Alligator mississippiensis: one gene and its partner. Each later gene encodes a partner of the first gene's protein in a complex. Links are inferred from orthologs where the notes say so. Each region holds a gene or a part of one and is shown on either strand. Other genes may lie near its edges.

The links. The genes of interacting proteins can lie anywhere in the genome.
Region 2: NDUFAF1 (region 1) and TMEM186 share a complex: the UniProt entries of both Homo sapiens proteins name them as parts of the mitochondrial complex. The link is inferred for Alligator mississippiensis from reciprocal best matches to the Homo sapiens genes NDUFAF1 and TMEM186.

Annotation. Positions count from the first base shown.
Region 1 is NC_081825.1:239,880,222-239,891,103, reverse strand, and holds the start of NDUFAF1 (complex I intermediate-associated protein 30, mitochondrial), read right to left. Parts: upstream 4,727-10,882; 5' UTR 4,642-4,726; intron 4,482-4,641; exon of another isoform or gene 4,275-4,481; intron 2,821-4,274; 5' UTR 2,697-2,820; coding exon 2,187-2,696; intron 184-2,186; coding exon 1-183. Other genes in the region: RNA polymerase-associated protein RTF1 homolog, read left to right, coding at 8,291-8,368. UniProt on the Homo sapiens protein: As part of the MCIA complex, involved in the assembly of the mitochondrial complex I.
Region 2 is NC_081836.1:35,934,942-35,944,023, reverse strand, and holds TMEM186 (transmembrane protein 186), read left to right. Parts: upstream 1-5,462; 5' UTR 5,463-5,511; coding exon 5,512-5,517; intron 5,518-5,593; coding exon 5,594-6,181; 3' UTR 6,182-6,462; downstream 6,463-9,082. Other genes in the region: PMM2 (phosphomannomutase 2), read right to left, coding at 1,204-1,295, 2,299-2,375, 3,823-3,934, 5,371-5,433. UniProt on the Homo sapiens protein: As part of the MCIA complex, required for efficient assembly of the mitochondrial complex I.

The DNA of each region.
Region 1 (10,882 bases):
GATTTCTTCCCAGTATGGACCGCCTCGGGTGAACATGAAGTAATGGTACATATCATCCTTTTGATGGGAAAAGTATGGGTCTGTAAAAATGTTTATCATCCAGGGTCGACCATCACCACGGACACGTAAATGCAGACTATTAAAGTTTGTCCAGTCATAGTATTTCTTCCTATTAAAAACCCCCTGCAAGAAATTAATAAAGTGTGTAATTTTATCTTAGTATGTCAATAAGAATTACTACAATAAGACCTGAGGCAGCCTTTGAATAGTCTCCCCCTCCCTCCCTTTTCATTAATTAGATAATGTTTTCTGTAACCCAGAGGAGACGCAATGTAAGATAAGGAAAACCAGACTTACTATTTGTTTCATTATAACAGTTTTAGTTCCATGATTCTCAGTGCTGTTAGACATCTCAAAAATGGGGTAACATCTTCAAGGACTTGTACTCAGATTTTGTAATCACAAATCTCACTATAGAAAATGAAACGCCACTCCCAGCACATTAACACAGATACTGCCATGACAGTATTTCTTTAAACCAGTATCCTGCGTCTAAGAATGGCCAACAGCAGAAGTTTTGGAAGAAGGTAAAAGAAAAGCAACAAGAACAGGTATAAAATAACCTGCCCCTGCTACAAAAAATGTTGTAGCTAATTCTGAGATACATGCCTTCCTTTAAATTAAAAATTATCCTTCATATTTATTATGCTTTGTGTTGGCCTCAACTTGCTTTGTAAAGGTGGGAAGGTAGTAAGAGGCATTAAACAATTTGGCCAGATTTACACAAATCTGTGGCAGTCCTGGAAATGTAATCTGGGTCCAATTCTCTGGATTTAGCCATCTCCCTTCGAATGAATGTTCACCTGTACACTTAGTTTAATCTATCCAATTTCCTATGTGCCATCAGTATGGCCTCTGATTAAATCTGTTCACATTCTTTATCCTTCAGAGCCCTAGTCCTCAATTTTTTACTTCTGTTCTCATTAATTAGGTCACAACTCTTGTTATTTATTCCATTGCATAAAGGCACTCATCTAAAATGACTCCAAGCTTTTTCATCTTGGTATCCCCCCCACTTTTAAGAAACATCTAAAAATGAATACCAATAGTTTTTCATCAAATGAAGGAAACAGACTATTATAACTAAATCATATTTTTGTTCTGTTCTATTTATAACTTGATTTAGTCTTTTGCATATTTTGAAAGGCAAGAATCCACATACAGAATTTTAAAAAGGATATTCCATAGCAGATTCTTCCTCTTTCACTTCAGGAACAAAAGAGAGCGTATTCTAACCTCAAATTGGGTTTGGATACAAACGTTAAGTTTGGGCCTAGATACTGTGACTACTTGTAGGTACGCACATATACAGGTTAAATAAAGTAGTCAGCACTGCACCAGTCATTTAAAATGCACCAATTCTGTCAATAAAACTTTGCTATAGGAGACTAAGCTTGCCTTTACTCAGTTACCATGTGTGCAATGGGAAATCCACTTTTGGTGATTAAAGGAAAAAAACGCTCCTTTCTTAAGAAAGATTTAGCCCTGAGCTAAAGTTTCAACTATGCCTAGTCAGAGTATGGCAATGATTACATCAGCAAATGGATTGAAGCAGAACGTCTCATACTTCTTCAACTGTCCCAATTTACTTACAACAAATAAAAGCCAATTTATTCTCACTGGTATAACACAGCAGAGTTAACTAGATTAAAGTAAGCCTCAAGAAGTTTGTTAAAAAGCCTAGCAAAGGTTGTCTTTGTTTTAGTCATTCTGAATACAGATTGTATTATCAGCTTAGACTAAGAAACCTAACAAGCAACCAGCACTAGAAATCAAGAGTTTGAATTTTGTACTTGATTCAATATACTTGATGGACAGTCTACGAAGCATCTAGAACAGAGTTCACCCTTCAGCTCCCTGCACTAAATAAACACTTCAGTTATTCATAATTTTCCATGGCAAATACGATTTTTTTCTCCAGTTGTGAGTGCAGAGTGAGCTCAAAATGTTTTTCTCTCCTTCCTGTGTCAGGAGAGTTTCTAATAAATAGAAACAAATGTACCTTGAAGAGGTAATCAGAAGAAAAATATCTGTACCGAAGTCCCCTAATCGCCCATCCTGTCAGCAGAATAAGAGGTCCCTGATAAAATACTGAATGTTAACTTAAATAATTAAGTTTTACTCACCAGTCGTGGCTTGGCTTTAAATCCACAATATCCACTGTATTTTGTTTCCCCATCACGAGGTACTTCAGTATTGAGGGTCCCATAGAACAGAGCACTTTGGTTATTCTTGCCTAGTTTTAGGTAGGCTTCACTTTTCCCTCCAATCTCTGTATCGGAGCTAGCTATCCATTTATCTAAATCTTTCTGGCTGTGGAATTTCCAGACCACTCTAGTCTCTTCCCATAAGTGAACATGCAGAGGCTGGCCATCATAACTTGTTACATGCTCTGCTATCTCAGACTTTAGTAATTTAAAATGTTTTTTAACCCCATTCACTGCTTTTTCAGTACTGAAATCAATTTTTTTCCAGACTGGAGTGTCATCAGGGCTTATTCCTGGTCTCCTATAGCTACTATACATTTTGGAGATGTGATTAGTGACGAGAGGGCCAAGCAAAGAATGCAAGACTTTGTGCCTCTGGCACTCCCTAAGAGGACGAGCACTAGCCAGTAGTTTAAAAGCTACAGCCATAAAGGTAGAATTGAAGGATGATCAAATTTCACTTTGAGAAAGGGCACTACCAGGTCTGAAATAAAGTCTTCAAAAAAGATTACTAGATGTACCAAATGTTGTTAAGGTAGCTTGTTTCCTCCACCTGTAACAAGAGGAACGAGAGAAAGAGATTACAAGCATACTTGTAAAGGTTTTACTTGTAAAAGGACACTGGCTTGAAATTAACCAATTTAAAAAACAGTTAAAAGCAATATCAGATTCTATGACTGCTGTGTCTTCTTGATTTTTGTCATTTTACAATAGCATTTTCCAATTTTTTAAGCTTTTCTCCTGCCATTGCTGCATAAGATTCCCAACATGAATCACAAGACAAAATGCTTGAAGTAAAACTGAAAAGAAAATAAAAAAACATTCTCCATTCTTTTAATCACAGTAAAAGTAGATGTCACTTGCAGCATTACCAGAAATTTGCAAAGAAAATTTGAAAGTTGATAATGCCCTTGTGGAACACTGCATGGCCATAATTTTGCAAACAGTCCTATCACTTTGTATCACATCTGTATGTATAAGACATAGCTGTTATACACGCACACTGAAATCTTGATATATATATATATATATATATATACACACACACACACACACACACACACATACACATACACACATACTATTATAATGTAATATATATAAAGTGGGTTGTATCATATTTTTATGCATATCCAATAAGGATATTTAAATATGTTACAAACATATACTATCCAATGCATTTATATATAAAGATATACTAAAATAAAAAGTTGTACTAAAGAGATATGTATGTACTAAAATATCTATATGTATGCTGTACAGTATATAAATTGTTCATGTGTTTTATATAAAATATGATATATTACATAGGATGGAGGCAAGGGAAGAAACCGACACTGACTGACTCCTCATTTGTGCTGCCTTAATTTTTTTAAGGCAGCACAAAAGCTGAGCAAATAAAGTTTCTTACTCTTTGTTGCACCACACAACAGGAAAATCAGTGGTGCAACAAAAAGTATCAACAGACTTACACTACTGAGGCAGACCTCTATTACCTTGCAGTGCTTCCCCTGCTCAACCAGCCTATGACAAGGGGGATGGGTTGGCACAGCAGAGACAAGCCCCCCCTGCCCTATTTGGGTCTGGGGCAGGGAGAAAAGTGCTTCCCCACTCAGCCAGCCCCCCCACCCCCACATGGGTCTGGAGCAGTGAGGCAAGTGAGGAGATGTGGGACAAGGGAGGAGGTGTGTTGCGCCCAGTGAAGGGGACGCACCGAGCTGCGCCACGACACAAGGCGACACAGGTGAATTGCTCCACTGGGCTGCGAATTGCTCCATGTGATGCCTGCAATGGCAGAAGACCAGACTTGACCCAAGTGGCCCTCTCCAGCCCAGGTTTCTTAAAAAATGTATTGTTTTGCTTTCTATGAGCTATTCTAGCATCAGCCAAATACGTCCCATCCGTCTCCCCGCCCCACTAATATTTAGTAAAATAAAAAGAACTCCCCCAATATCCCTAGAGAATACTCCCAGCAGCCCATACGACATTGATGCAAGAAAGTCTGACCCTTTAAACAAGCTGCATGGCATAACCGTGGAAGTGCTGCCTGGCCTGGGGATGGGGGTCTTTTATTGGACCAGCCACGCAGGCGGGCCGCGGCTGAGGCCGGACACGCTGCCAGGGCCGCCTGCACCATCCACACTGCGCCATGCTCGGACCATTATGACGCAACATGACGCGGGGATGACGTCACCACCCCAGACGCGCTCTCCGGAGGGGCAGCTGCAGCGCGGCTCAGCCCGAGCTGCTTCCCCTGCGACGCCCCGTGGAGCCCGCCAGCGCCACCCCCGGCCCCACAGCGGCTCTGAGCGCCCCAGGGACACCACCCTGCCCTCGCCGCCCCCCGCGCGCTCGTCCGCGTCCTCGTCCTCACCTGCCGGCGGACGTAGCGAGTCCGGCCGCGATCAGAGCCCGCCGCGCAACCGTGGCCGAGAGCAAAGGTTCCGCGCCCTGCCGGAGGAAGCCGCGGGGTTCTGGGGTCCGCGATGCTCAAAGCCACGGCGCTCTCCCGGGCCGGCCCCGCCGCCAGGCACAAACTCAGCTCAGCCCGCCAGGCCGCTGCCGGCTCGTCCCTGCAGCACAGCCCGTGCTCCCCTCGGGGAGGCAGCACCAGCTAGTGGGTAGAGCCAAGGCCAGGGCTCCGGGATTCCTCCTGCCTTCCAGTCCCAGTCATACCACGACTCAGCCTGGCCCTAAGCACCCGGCATTTGCGTCCTGTTCCCTCCTCTGCTGTAAAAGTGATACTTGGGTGCGAGTGTGAGGATTACGTGCTGCCTGCCTGCCTGTCTGTCCTGAGACTTGCCCCGAGGGCTCCAGCTGAAAGGCTCTGTGAGTATAAAACATTATTTTACTGGTCGGTGCATTTTTTTAAATTGAGATCAAAGGGTTTTGGGGAGGAGGGCTTAGGGGGGTTTTCGGTGGTGGCTGTTGTGTGTGTGTGTGTAGGGGGGTTGGTATTGGTGTTCAGGGCTGTGAAGTTCTACACCAGCCTTTCAGTCAGAGCTGTGTGGGTAAAAAATGTGAAATACTGAGACAGAATTTGATCGGAGTATAAAAAGTGCATCTGATGCGACACCTGTCATGGCAGGAGACCAGACCTGGTGACCTAAGTGGTCCTCTCCAGTCCTATTTTCTTTAAAAAAAATATTGTTTTGCTTCCTGGGAGCGATTCCAGCATCAGCCAAGTGCACTTCCCCCGAACTACTGCAAAGTAAAAAAAAAAACCAAAAAAAAAAACAAAAAACCGAAAACCCAGTAGCCCTTGAAGAAACTTCCAGCAGCCCATATTACTTAAATACAAAAAAGCCTGACCCTTTAAACAAGTTGCATGGCATGCATACATGTGGAAGTGCTGTAAAACCTTTCTATTTGGGCAGGCGTTTAGCAAGCAAAGTTAAGCTGGGATATTGTTTGGGGGGGCGTTGCTTTATATGTTGCTTCAATATAGATTTCATAAGTTGTTTTGTGCTCTTGCTTGTTCTCTTGTTTTATAAGTTATTTTGCTCATTTACTGTAAGTCACCTTGAGGGTCTGTTGGGAAGGGCAACATATACCTCTAATAAATAAATGCCGTATTTTCATAACATACACATCACAAACTGTTTGATGACAATGACTCCTTTCTTGGCCTCTATTCCCAATTTTCATCACCCAGTATAAATGTACAAAGATTTTCAGAATTACTTTCCTCCCATCTCCCCACATATTCCAATAGCCTGCGGAGTTCAGGAAATCCTTAACATCCTGATAATTCAAAATAGTAAGAAAAAAAAAGAAAAACAAACAAAAAGATATTATCCTATCTTGAAAAATCATCATTAGTTTGGGTAACTTTTTAAAAATAGGTTCTCCCATCCACCACTATGATGCATATTGTTTCTCTGTGAATGCCCAACGGGTATGGATCTTGACTGAGTCTACTGATGTTTGCAACCTGAAAACTCAGGCAAGTCTTGTCCTATAGCTGCCAACATTTTAGACGTACCGTGATTAGCAATTTAGTGGTTTATTTTCACTTAGATAAGACTCCATATACCTGGCCAGTTCACAGTTCAGCTACATGTAATCTGTATTTAAACCATAGTTTACTTACATTAACATGTTTAAAACCACATCCTACAAGCTTCTTTGGAAATACATAGCACTGACATATTATATAGTGTTTATGACATTTACAGGAGAAACAGTAGGGTTTATGGCTCAGCCTCCCAGGTCTAGAAGGTGTTAACTAATTGTAGGAGCATCATGGCTATCAGAGAAGTACACTACATGGAGAGCACATAGGAAAGTGAAAAAACTTGGGGGTGGGTGAGTGGTCCAGAGCAAATGCCGTTTGATGTACCTGGATCTTTGCTACTTAGTATTTCATGACTTTCAAAACCTGTCTTTACATTAATAAATTACATTAATTTTAAATGTAATGTTATTAATTGTAATGGCTGAGGTGAACATTTGTAATCTGAACAATAATATAAGATTGTATTGTTTGAATACATGATTATTAATAAAATAACCATCAATTCTTACCCAAACCTAGGAACAGCATATAGCTTCTCTTGCCAATAGTCTCTCTGAGACTTACCTGCTAAGAGATTGGCAGAGCTGGATATTTATGCCTGTCCAGAGCGCATTGGGCTTTAAAGATATTCTGCCTGGGTGCAGAGGTCACCCTGAGCAGAGCACATTGCAGGAGCAGGGACAGAACCAGGAGTTAGAGGGGAGGGAGAGGAGGGAATCCATAGATTTCTGTTGGAAATAGTCAGTGGTTTACAGTAATGCCACTTAAGCTGTCAGAACTTCCAGCATTAATCCTCTTCTGCAAAGAACAGGTTGTTTGGCCCCTGCTACATCTTATATATTTCAGTTAATTGGTGAATCCAGCAACGCATTTCAACTGACCATACGTGCAAAGTAATTATCACATGTCTGACTGCTCAACCATGCAATACATTTAGAGCAGCCACCTGTGCAGAGTAATCATCACACTTGACCATCCAGCTATAAAGAGAGTCAATCTGCTATAAAGTTAGTGCTTGAAATTGTGTAACTCCATGGCTGGTTTCCATTTAGCTGGAATCCAAACAGGTGGCAGGGCCCTCAAGAGGAAATTCCTGCTCCTCCAACCTCCAGGGCTGTCATTCATCTGTCACCTTGGAGCTCTGCCATGCCTTCAAATTAAAACTGGCAAGAAACCAGCTATAGAGCTGCCACATATTTTCAAGCACTAACTTTATTTGGTATTTTGCATTTGCATTTGGCATTTTATAGCTGGAGAGTCATTTTTATGTGTGATAATGACTTTGCTGGGGGGTGGGAGGTCGGGTCTAATAGATGTATTGCGTGGTTTACTAGTTCCTCATGGGACAGTTACTTTGCACTTGTGGCCGGTTTACACTTCTAGTGCGATTTAGCGGGGAATTGTGTGATATACGTAACATGTAGCAGGGGCCTTGTGGGAAGAGGCCTGAAAGGAGCAGAGGGGTTAGTGTCCCCCCAGCTTTTGCTGGCCAGAGACTGGGGCGCGGAGTAAGTGACCCCTCCTGACTCTCGCCATCAGCGTCTTCTACGTGGAAGCTCCCCGTGGCCCGAGAAGCAGGCGAGCGGCCGCTGGGCGAAGCGCGGGTGGCGGATCCGCAGAGCAGCGAGGCAGGGGAGCGGCTGCGGCCGGCCCCCCGCGGCCTTTGTTGGGGAACAGAGGGGCTCTGTTGCGGGGAACTCGGCGGCGCGCGGGTTCCAGGCCGGACGGGCACGTGCGGCGCATGGTGAGCGGCGGCGGGGCCGGGCGGCGAGCGCGGGGCCACGTGCTGTCGGCTGGGCCCCGCCCAGCGGCGGCGGCGGCGGCGGCCTGGCCCCTCCCCGGGGCGGGGCGGCGCGGGGCGCATGCTCCGTGCCCTTTGTGTCCGGGCGCTGGGGCGGCCGGGCTCGGCTCGGCGCGGTGCGGCGCGGCTCGGCTCGGTTCGGCGGCGCTCGCAGGGCCGCAGCGTCCGCCCGCCTGCCGGGCTTGCGGCGCTGCCGCCTCCGCCATGGTGAAGAAGCGGAAAGGCCGCGTCCTCATCGACTCCGACACCGAGGACAGCGGCAGCGAGGAGAACCTCGACCAGGTGCGGGCGAGCGGCCGGCAGGCCCGGCGCGGGCCTCGGCTGCTGGGCGGCCCCGGCCCGCTGGGCCTAGGGCGCGGAGCGGAGCGCGGGGCCCTGCCCCGGCTCGGGCCCGGGAGGCTGCGGCGGCGGCGGATGCTCCTGCTGCCCCCCTCCCCCCTTCCCGTTCCCGCTGCGGGGAAGCGGCTCCCTCGTGCGCGGCCCCGGCCGCCTCAGAGAGGGGTGCCGCTTTACGCCCTGGCAGGGACTTGCTTTGGCCCGTTCCCCGTGGCGCCGGGCCGGGCTGCCCCGTACCAGCGTGGCTTGGGCGGCTGTGAAGCCTCTGGGGGCGGCCTGTGCCTGCGCCGGCCTGGGGGGAGAAGCTGTCAGTGCCGCGGGGGGGGGGGCGGGGAGGGAGGCTTCCCGGCTTCTGCCTCAGTGTCACTTGAGCCAGAGTTGCCTCCTGTCACGTAGACCTTCTAGCAAGGGGTGAGAAGCACTGCGGGTCTCGTGTCTCTCAGCATCACGAGTAAACTTGGGCCTGTAGCAGGTTGGGCCTTTCTCCATGGCGAACTGCCTTAAAAACTTAAAAACCATGTCTTGCTGCCCAAGAGCACAGGGAGTCGGGCTAACCCTAGGCTGGGATGCGTAGGGGCTGGCATAGGCCGGGGGGGGGAGGAGTGATCTTGTACCCCATGCTTCCTCTGTGGCGGGTGAAGCAGTAAGTGGTTGCATTCTGTCCCATGGAGAGCTCTAGGGCAGCTGAGCCACAGCAGCTCCCGCCCACTGGACTTAGGTAGCGGAGAGGGGAAATTTGGTTTCTATGATACATGGCTTAACTAGAGAGGGAGTCAGCTGTAGTAGCCCAAAGTCAGGGCAGAGCAGCACCTTGTAGACTCTCTAGTGCAGAAAGGCTAAGCTTCCCGAAGCAAGTTGGAGATGGTATGAAGGGATGTAATTAGCTGTGTTAATGGTGGTACCCTGCCCTGCCTTTTCTGTGACTTGATTAGGAAAGCCTAGGCCAAAAAGGGCATTGGAGGATGCTTGGCCTCTGCCTTTAGCAGCATGTAGCATTTTAGAAACTCAAGGAGGGGGGACCCTTACAATACAGGTTTCTCAAAAAAGAAAATGAGGAAGGATAAGTAGGGTAACAAAGGAATATTGACACGGTTAAAAGGAGAGCATAGCTGGTCCAAGGTACTACATAAGAAAGCACTCATGGGAGTGAGGTGAGGGTGCCATTTAGCCAATTTGTTGCAAGCGGGGGGGACATAGTTCTAACAAAGACTAGGGATCTGTGCCTGCTAAGGAGATGCCTTTCTGATGTTAGGGGCCTGCACAGAGAGACCTGATAAATCCACTTGCCAGTGAAAGCTTTCCTGGTGAGTTGAGGAGGTCTAAGTCATCTGCAGAATTTAAACTCTTATTTGAAAAATGAAGTTCTAACCTCTGGGGCTGTGAAGATTATCTTCTTGTTTAAGACCAATAAAAACCATGTTTAGTGATGTTGTCCCAAGACAGTAGCAGTCCCCATGTGATTAGGTGGTCTCTGATAGCTTAAACTTAGCAAAAGCATTTTTTGTGATACTTTGAAGAGTCTGTAATGTTTTACTGATGCTTTTCACAGTCCTTTTAGCAACAGTGAAACTCCAGAATCCTTTTAGATTCTGGTGGATGTTTGAAAAAGTTGTGAGCAGCAGCAGGTAGTGAAAATGTTCATGTGATAGCAGGGCACAGACGGCAGAAGTAAGGGTAGGGCACTAGAGACAATTCATCCTTGCAGCAACCAGTAGAAGAAACAAAAAAGGAAAGTTTGATGCTGCTGATTTATTTCTAGATACCTACAGGAGATGAAGCCCTGTGTTCTTTGGTAGGAATCCCATCACCCTGCCTATCTTAGTTGCAGAGCAGGGCAGACAGCAGAGTTGTCCATCAGGGATGTTGCATCTAGACCCTCATAGCAGATCCTTTGATTTTAATTTTTTTTTTTTTTGGATATGTCTTGCTAATAGATGTGATCTTCTGAATAGTTGGTATCTGGTGTGTTTTTTTTCCCCAAGCCTAGTATTGTGGGGTGCTCACTAATATTCTGAACTGGTGGAGAGCAACTGCTTAATTTTAGTCTTCCAGTCTGGTACCTGTGATACAAGTGTCTTTATATGCTTCACTGTAGTTTTGAGATAGATAGAAAAATGGACAGACCTGTTTGGACTCTGTTAAAGGAATAGTCCAGTTAGGATGTATAAGTCACTGTCTCAGGCTTCAAAGCAACTACCATAAAAGCATATAACTACAAAAAGCGAGACTGCTCGGGGATTATCTACATCTGAATAGTTAGAGCAGTGTTTCTCAACTCTTTAAGAGTTGGGATGTCCCTCAACAACTTTTTAAAATTTGGCAGCACCCTTGATTGAGAACCAGTGCTGCACGCAGGTAGGCCTTCATAGTACTTCACAGCCAGGTGCTGCAGTGTACTTCTTGTATTAGGGTTTCCTGCAGACAGGAATGGAGGCATGACTAATGAGCTTTACACCCTTG
Region 2 (9,082 bases), on another chromosome or scaffold:
ACTAGACTGTGTAAATTAAATCCTAAGAGTTATGCTTTATGAGCATACCAAAAATGGCACTGATGCAGTGAAATGCTAAGGTTTTTAAAAGGGCAGACACATGTGGGCACACCCATTCAACATATATGACCTTTACAATAAAGATAACTAAGGAAGTGAAATTTGCATTCCACAATGCAGAGTACCACTGCCCAAGCAGAAATTTGCTCATGATGCCATAATTAGCATGATTAGGTATTCTACAAAAGTTTGATAAATATAGTTATTAGGGATCTCTGTAAATCACTGAGGAAGTACCCGCAATGGCTCTTGTAATAATTTTTTTGTTTCACTGCTTGTCCTCCCTCCCACCTGATTGGCAGAGGGGCCCTGCTGGCTGGACCATTTGCTACTGATCACCGGGGAAGTGGAAACAGTGGTTTAAATATGCCATGGTTTTTGCTTCTCCACTGGTCAGCAGCAGGGCTACAGGGGGCCCTTTGCCAATCCGTGGTGGGGAGGCAAAATCCGTGGCATATTTAAAACCATGATTTTCACTTCCCTGGCATTCAGTAGCAAATGGCCTGGCCAGAGGGGCCCCTCAGCCAATCGGGTGAGGGAAAGAGCATTGAAATGAAAAAAAAATGGAAGGAGCTGTGCGGGAGTGGTACTGACCTCACAATTTACAAAGATTCCCTAGTAATTACTCAAGACCTTAGTTTAACCTCTCCTGAAAGACCATGCGCAAGATGCTCAGTCCCACCCCATTCCACCAGTGTAGACCACCAGAAATCCAGCAGAAAACCTGCAAGGCATGCAGGCTGGCCAAGGTACAATTAATTGGTGGGCACCTGCAGGTCGGATGAAATTGCCTTGCGGGCCGGATCCCACCCGTGGGCTGCATCTTGCCCGCCCTTGTTCTAGTCTATAGAAGCCACGATGCCTCTGAATTTTGAAATGCTGTTTTTCTGGATTTTTTAATAGGGCAATTAATTCCCAACAACATAACATCTTTGGACAAAAATTTCTTCCTTGATCCATTTTCATCTGCTTAAATAAGGGAGTTTTATCTTTCCATTTAGGGGATTACTAGAAGACTTCTGTCACAGCTTTATGGTATGTTCTGAAACACAGAACTGAGCTGGCGTGCCTTCCTTATCACTGCCCAACACAGTAAGAAAGGGAACAGGCTGGCCCCAAGATGCACTGCATCTAAATACATACCTTTTCTTTGGTAGTTTAATCTTCGCAATGTAACTAAGACAATAGTTGATTAGTTCTTGGAGTATGTCCTCACCCATATGATTCTGAATGCTCTAAACAAAAAAAAATACCTGTTAGCTATAGCTCCAGAGTTCAGGTTTCCAAAAATAGACAAACACAGGTCTTAAATGTACACAAGATACTAAAAAAACATGCAGTTAAGCAGCTGATCTTAACCAGTAGGTGTATAGCACTGGCTGTAAACTTCCATTCACTCCAGTTGCTGCTGTGCAACCCAAGTCACTGTAACACACTCTTCTAGACACTTCATAAATACCATGGTTTAGAGAACAAAGGTTTAAAAGGTAACTGGCGCATAACCACCAATACAGCCAAATTAAATATGGGAAATAGAGAAGATTGTTTAAGTCTCAAAACCACTGCCTTAGGTTTCAGTTTGGGTAATGATCTATTTTTTTTCTTCTCTTCTTTACCTAGGTTGAGGCAATGAAAGTGATCAGATCAGATTTAATCAACTGTATTTTCTCATCCACTAATCCACTCTGTGCAGTTGCAATATACTCCATGCACTTCAAGAACAACAAGTAAAGGGAGTTCAGAAGCACATTTACAACTTCCCAATCCTAAAACCTCTTTCGCTTCCTCTGGCATATTGCAGAACAGCTTCAAGGTTATTCCACACGGCCGTACTATTGTGGAAATTCCACACATTGGGGATTCTTAAAGGGTTCTTGTCATGTTCTCTATGCTCTAGGGTAGGCAAGATGCCACTCAGGGATTTTTCTATCATGGGAACTCATTGACCAGACATGCCACATACCCGATTGCTTTATACTTCCAGAGTAGCACAAAGAAATCATAATGTGAGAATCTGACCCTCTGCCTTGTATCAAATCTACACATTTAAAAGATTGAGATGGATGGTCAATTATACACGTAAAAGAAGAATTTCAGACTAGCAAAAAGATGATAAATGAAAATTGCAACTGCAAAACAAGATATAAAAAAAAATGCAAAATCTTAAGAGTAGAATACTATTTGAAAATGTATCTAAAGACTACATTGTCTGACAGTTTATAGGAACTTCAAACATACCTGCTTGGACAACAGTTTCCCATCTTTGTATGCTACAAGACCATTTTCTGGGAAGACGTAGTCAAACTTTTCAACCACTGAAACAAACAAAAACTGTTGTAATTTATTTGTCTTCACTCAAACTTCCACGTTTTTGTTGTAAATACTTTTACATATCATACACCAGGGTATTTTTACAACATTAAGCATAAGTGATGCTAAAATAAGATCTATAGAACAAAAGATTAATTTCTACTATTGTATTTTTTAAACTTTACATATAATCTAGCAAATTGACACATTCATCAATAAAGTTATTTCAATAAAGTTATATTTGCTTTTGGTTTGATCTTAAACTGAATACCATAGTGCTAGGCCTCTAGCATATTAGTAAATCTTGTAGTTTAAATGAAGAAAAATGTGAAACGTTACATGCAGTGATGTGCTACATCATTTGCACCCACATTTTCAAAATCTCAGATTACAAATTCAAAATCCTTGATTACAACCATTCAGAATGAGAGTAAAGAAGTAATCAACTACTGTAGATAATATAAGAACTTGCTATAATGTAGGTTTAAATAGAAGCCACTTCTAAGCCAAGTAAATGCAGGGTTATAAAAAACAGTTGCTGCTTACACTGGGCCTATGGCTATTCATACAGTTCTTTCACATTAAAAATGAAAGTTTCCTACCAAGGGCTTGGAACAAGCTACCTTATGTGACCACTTGGCTAGTAAAATCATCTTTTCCATGGATAAACACATAGTTTAGCAACCTATATCAAAGGCAATATGCAAAACTGCATTAGAGAGAAACTAAAAATTAGTATTCTAACACAACGGCATAACAAGCCAAGTTGTCATACAAGGCAAACCCTGCAGGAATTGGGGAGAGGGGCAGGGAGACAGGCAAGGTAAGCATGGAGTTCTGGGGGTGGGGAGCACACAGATTAGCAAGTGGGGGCAAGGGGCATAGGTCCCAAGAGCCAGGGCAGGAGGTGCGCAGGTCCAAGAGCAGGGAGGCAAGGGAGCAGCAGCCTCACCAACACTGGAAATGTCTGAACAGTCCCAGCTGGGTTGCTGTTCTACACATGCTCTTCCTCCCCTGGCTCTCTTGCCCTTACAGCAACAGCAGTCAGGAACTGCCTCTGAGTTCCCAGTGTGGCAGTGCTGCCAGGCCATGGGCTCTGCAGGGATGCGAGGAGATTCTGGCACCCTAACTTGGCACGCAGGGCAAGCTAGTTATGCTACTGTTCTACATTACTAGTGTGAAGTCAGAACTTCACTGCATGTAGCAACCAAAGGGTATAAGACTGAATCTTCCTGTGTAAAGTACAAGTACTTGGGAGACTTTTAATTTAACCCACTGCGGGCAATACAGTTTTAAATCAAGCAATCATCACACACTGACTGTGAATAGTGAACACTTCATGAGATTTGCGTACTACAAGGAAGGAGGAAGAAAAAAGGTTTAATTTAAGGTGTCAGAACTTCCTCATACGCAACAAATTTATCAACCTGGACCATCTCATCTCTTCCTTACCATCGTCTCCCAGCTGCTCTTTAATTTTTTCAAAGTCTGAACCACCTACTACTCCAACTCTCACCTTCTGCCGCAACTTCTGCAGAAATTCTCCCATTTCTGCTGTGACTTTCTAGATTTCAAAAAAAGAAACAAAAGTTTATGATTAGTGGGTAGCCTACGCAGCTTTAGCATAATTGTATATCTGAACATAGCTATTGTGGTGCAGGAGGAGAAAGGTTGCTGTGAAGCAAAATATGTAGGGCTTTAGGGAGAAAAATGCCAAAAAAATGCTTTGAGTGAAAAATCAACAAGAAAGCTGGTGCAATATGTAGCTTACTTAACATAGCATGCTCCCTCTTATGAAGGCCTAAAAATTTAAACCTCTTGACCTTCTGAAATACCTTCAGGGGTAGCCCCCATACGCCCTGAGTTCACATCTGGAAGTCACAGAGGCAGAGAGAGGCATAGCAAGATCTGTATGAGGATAAACACACAATTTTTACTATGGAGAAAACTGACTTTACTCGGTAGCAAAGGATCCAGGACACACAAACTCACACTGGCTTAAGTTGAGCCTTGTATGAGGCACAGTGGTCATATCCACTTCCCTAACTCATTTCCTCTGCCATAGACAGCCATTTGCTTCATTCAAACCAGAATGGGGCACCACCTAGCAGCCAGGATCCATAACGTGCCTGTGGGCACCTAGCTTGGAAGGGTGTTCTTGTGCCTGCTCCCTTACCATGGAGTAGTTTATTACAGAAAAAGATCCAGGCCTAATTATTCATCCAGGTTTATTTATTTGCTGTGTTTCCACACTGTAACTCACTTCCAGTACTGGAAGAAAACAGCACCTGTGGAGATAACGGCTCTCTGAAACTCCAGCAGTAACTGGGAATTCAGAAGCACCCTTGAGCTGTAAGACTGAAGCGTGCCCAAAAAGGACAGTTTACTGTCACGGACCCGCACAGGATGATTTCCGTTTGCTGTCTTGATCTGGCTTCCTCGGCTCACCTGAACGCCAGCCAAGAAGGAAGCGCATCCAGACGGCACCAGCTTTATCTAGTTACCAAATGCACAGGTGGCGTCGCCCGCCTGCCCGCCGCCCCTTCACTATTTCTCCAAAGGAGCCACCAGCCTTAGCAGGAGGAGCGACACCCGAGGGAGTTTTGCTTTGGCGTCCCTCAGCGCGACGGAGCAGCGGCGGTTTCTTTTTAGAGCGACTGCAGAGCACGTTATGGAGCTGCCCCGGGGCCTGGCTCCCCCGCCGGAGCGGGCCCGCTCGCCGCTGAGGGCAGCGCTGCCCCGCGCACGCCGGCGGCCGAGCCCCAAGCAGCCCGACGCTCGTGTAGGCGGGCACGGCGCCCGGCACAGCCCGCCCTGCAGCGCCAGCGACAGGCACCCGGGAAACCGGCCGGACACCCGGCGAGGCCAGAGCGCTCGCGCTCGGGGCGAGGGCAGCCAGGCCGGGAGGGGAGAGGAAGAGCTCGGGGAGGAGAAGCGTCGCCTGCGGGGGCCCGGCCCGCCCCGCCGCGAAGGGCTGGGAAGAAGCCGCCCCGCACTCACCTGCCGGGGCGCCGTGAGGGTGCCGTCCACGTCGAAGAGGCAGAGGTTGCCCGGCGCCGCCATGGCTTGCGGTGAAGGAGCTGTCGTGGCCGGCGGCCGCTTCCGGCCCCGCCTCTTCCGCTCCCGGCTCCCGGCGGCGGCATGGCGGTGAGTGCGGGGCCGGGTGGGTAGGGCGGCGCGGCACTGAGGGGCTCATCTCGTCTGTCTGTCTCTCCCTCCCCAGGCCGTCGCCCTGCGCTGCGCCGTGGCCGTGGCCGGAGGGCGGGCGGGCTCGTGGCGGCTGCGCTGCGTGTGTAGCAGCGCCGCCCCCGGCAGCCCGCCGCCCGCGCCGCCCGCGGAGCGCTTCACGCTGGTCTACAGGTTCCCGGGGATCCGCTACTGCCGCGCGCTGTCCCGCCTGAAGCTGCTGCAGACCGGCCTGACCGTGCTGGCCCTGCCGCCGCTCGGCCTCCTGTACGCGCAGGGCCAGGCCTCGCTGCTGCAGCTGCAGGCGGCGGGGGGCATGGCCGCCCTGGCCTTCGTCGTGCTCTACGGCCTCAGCTACTACCTGCGGCGCCTCATCGGCCTCATTTACCTCAGCGAGACGGGCGGCGTGGTGCGGGTGGCGCACCTCACCTTCTGGGGCTGGAGGCACGACATCGACTGCCCCACCACCTCCGTCATGGCGCTGGGGGACACGGGGGACAGGCGCGGTGAGCTGCTGCTCCAGTTCAAGCGCTACGACAGCCCACAGGTGCTGTACTTCACGCTCAGGTTTGGGCAAGTTGTGGACAAGCAGAAGTTCAAAGAGATATTTGGGCAATTCCAGTGACCGCAAGGGCACCCGGTTTTCCAGCTGTCCCACCTGCATTGTACTTCTTTTTGGTCTGTCGCAGGTGTCCGGTTACATCAACTTGTTGAAATAGTTGCACCTCCTTCTTGTATTAAATACCCCTCCTGCCAAACGTGCTTCAATCTGTGTTTGTGTAGAGGGGGAGGCAGAAATTCAACAGCCCTGTGGAGGGAAGTAAAATCTTTCCCCTTCCCACCCGAAGCCTTTATGTAACACAAAAAAAGGAGTTTGGCAGTAAAGTGATCTCAGCTGGAGGCTCACGCAGGCTGCTGTTTTACTTCAGTGCTCAGTTGCAGGGACGCAGCTAGTGGCAGGGTTTCTTTTTTGGTTCTCAGAGCTCAGTGCCAACAGTTGCTGGACCCTTGGAGCCTGGTGCACAAGCCCTTCCCCTGATTAAACTGCAGCGTGTAGCATAATACAAATTAATATGACTTGTGAGGAGGTGGCAACTTGTAGTCTCTCTTGCGCTGTTAATTGAGTAATGCAATTTTTGCATTCACAGAAAAACATGATGGCTGGATTTAGTCCACTCATATAGGACTCCACAGGTGTAAATACAAGCAAACTGTGTGAGAGAAAGTTGCTTTAGGTAATGAAAACGGCAATTTGTTCCAGAGTGTTTTGAAAGATTTTGTGGGGCAAAGTGTGACAACATCCAGATATCAGGAAGTAGGAACAACATATGGGTAAGAGGATTTGGGCAAACTGAGTAGAAATGTATACAATTGGGTTGTTCCTTTATACTCCAGTTTTCCCTGCCACTGTGACTACTGGCTGTATAGCACAGTAGTCATCCTAACCTTCCCCAAAATATCTGCAGCCCTGAGCTAGAACCAGGCACATGGTTTGTCATTATGAAACGAGCCTAGCCCTCAATATAAGGCGGACTCTATACATTACACACCAACCAGGGACCTAGAGGGGAGAAAGCACTACAATATCCAGAAGGCTCAGGGCTCTGCTCTAGAGAGGTGTGTATTTGCTAACTCAAAATCAGTTATCTTAAAGCGATAGGACAGCAGGAAAGCCAAGATAGATTAGTCTATCAAGTGCTTGTACACAGCAAATTAAAATTCCAAGAAATAATTATCTTAAATCATAGGTGGAGTTGAATGCACTGTTATTTCTCTGAGGTACCTGAGGTTGGAAATGTGATAATCCATGAGAAACATGTTTGAAAAGTTGACATGTTCAAGTATCTGGAGTCAGTTGTTCAGAAAAAGGGGGAGTTAGAGAAAGAGTTCAACCATCGAATAACAGCAGGATGGATGAATTGGAAATGGATGACAGGAACATTATGTGACAGGAGAATATCTGTGAAGCTGAAGGGGAAAGCCTACAAGATGTGTACATCCAGCAGTATTGTAAGGAGCAGACACATGACTCCCAAAGAAAACTCAAGAAAGGAGACTGAACGTTACAAAGATTAGTGCTCCGATGGATGTGTGGAGTGACAAAGATGGATAAAGTAAGGAATACCTGCACCAGAAGATCAGTGAAGGTAGTGGAGGCATCTAAGGAAGTACAAGAAAGAAGACTGGCATGGTATGGACATTTTCAAAGGGAATTCGGAAGAATAAGAGGGGGAAAAGAAGTTACCAGAATGGGACTACAAGGGAGAAGAGGAAGACTGAAGATGATATGGAGAGAGAGAGTGGAGAGGACACGAGAAAAGAAGTTGGAAATGATGCATATGACCGAAGCCAGTGGAAAGCCAGGCTCCACAACAGCAACCTTGTTTAGACGGGACAAGCGAGGGGAGAAGAAGAATCATAATAATCCATGAGTGAAGTGGAAGGGGAAAGCCTGTAAGATGTGTACAAGTATTGTAAGGAGTGGAGACATGACTCCTAAAAAAAAACTCAAGAAAGGAGACTGAACATAACAAAGATGAGAATGCTCCAATGAATGCTCCCCTGCTAAACCAGATGGGACAATTGACAACAGACGCCCAGGAAAAAGCAAACTTACTAAATGGGTACTTTGCATTAGTTTTTCACCAGTCCCATGGGACGCCCCTGCCCACTGCGGGACAGAGAGGCCCGGGGTGAGGGAGATCCCTTACCCTCCATCAAAGCTGACCTCGCCAAGGAACACCTTGAGAGGCTGGATACCTTCAAGTCAGCCAGCCCTGACAGTTTACACCCCTATCCCGGGGAAGATCCTAGAAAAGATTATCGAAGAGGCCATTCTTAACCGACTGGCTGACGACAACATCCTGAGGGATAGCCAGCACGGGTTTGTTGCGGGTAGGTCTTGCTTGACCAGTCTCATTTCCTTCTACGACCAGGTGACCTATCACCTGGACAAGGGAAATGAGATTGATGTCATATATTTTGACTTTATAAAAGGCTTCGATCTGGTATCCCATGATCACCTCTTGGCAAAACTGGCTAACTTGGCCCCACCATGATCTGCTGGCTGGGGAATTGGCTCCACAGCAGGTCCCAGAGGGTGGTGGTTGATGGAAGTCGATCGCTGTGGTTCCCTGTGACCAGTGGGGTCCCTTCAAGGCTCTGTCCGAGGGCCTATATTGTTTAACATCTTCATTAATGACGTAGACATTGGTGTCAGAAGCGGACTGGCCAAGTTTGCCGCTGACACCAGACTCTGGGGTAAAGCATCCATGCCTGAGGACAGGAGGGTGATCCAGGCAGACCTTGACAGGCTCAGGAAATGGGCAGACAAGAACCTGATGGTGTTTAACACTGAAAAATGCAAGGTTCTCCACCTTGGGAGGAAAAACCTGCAGTATGCTTATAGGCTTGGCAGTGCTACGCTGGCCAAGGGACTTGGTGGTCATGATTGACCACAAGATGAACTTGAGCCTTCAATATGATGCTGCGGCTAAAAGTGAGCAAAACGCTGGCTTGCATCCAT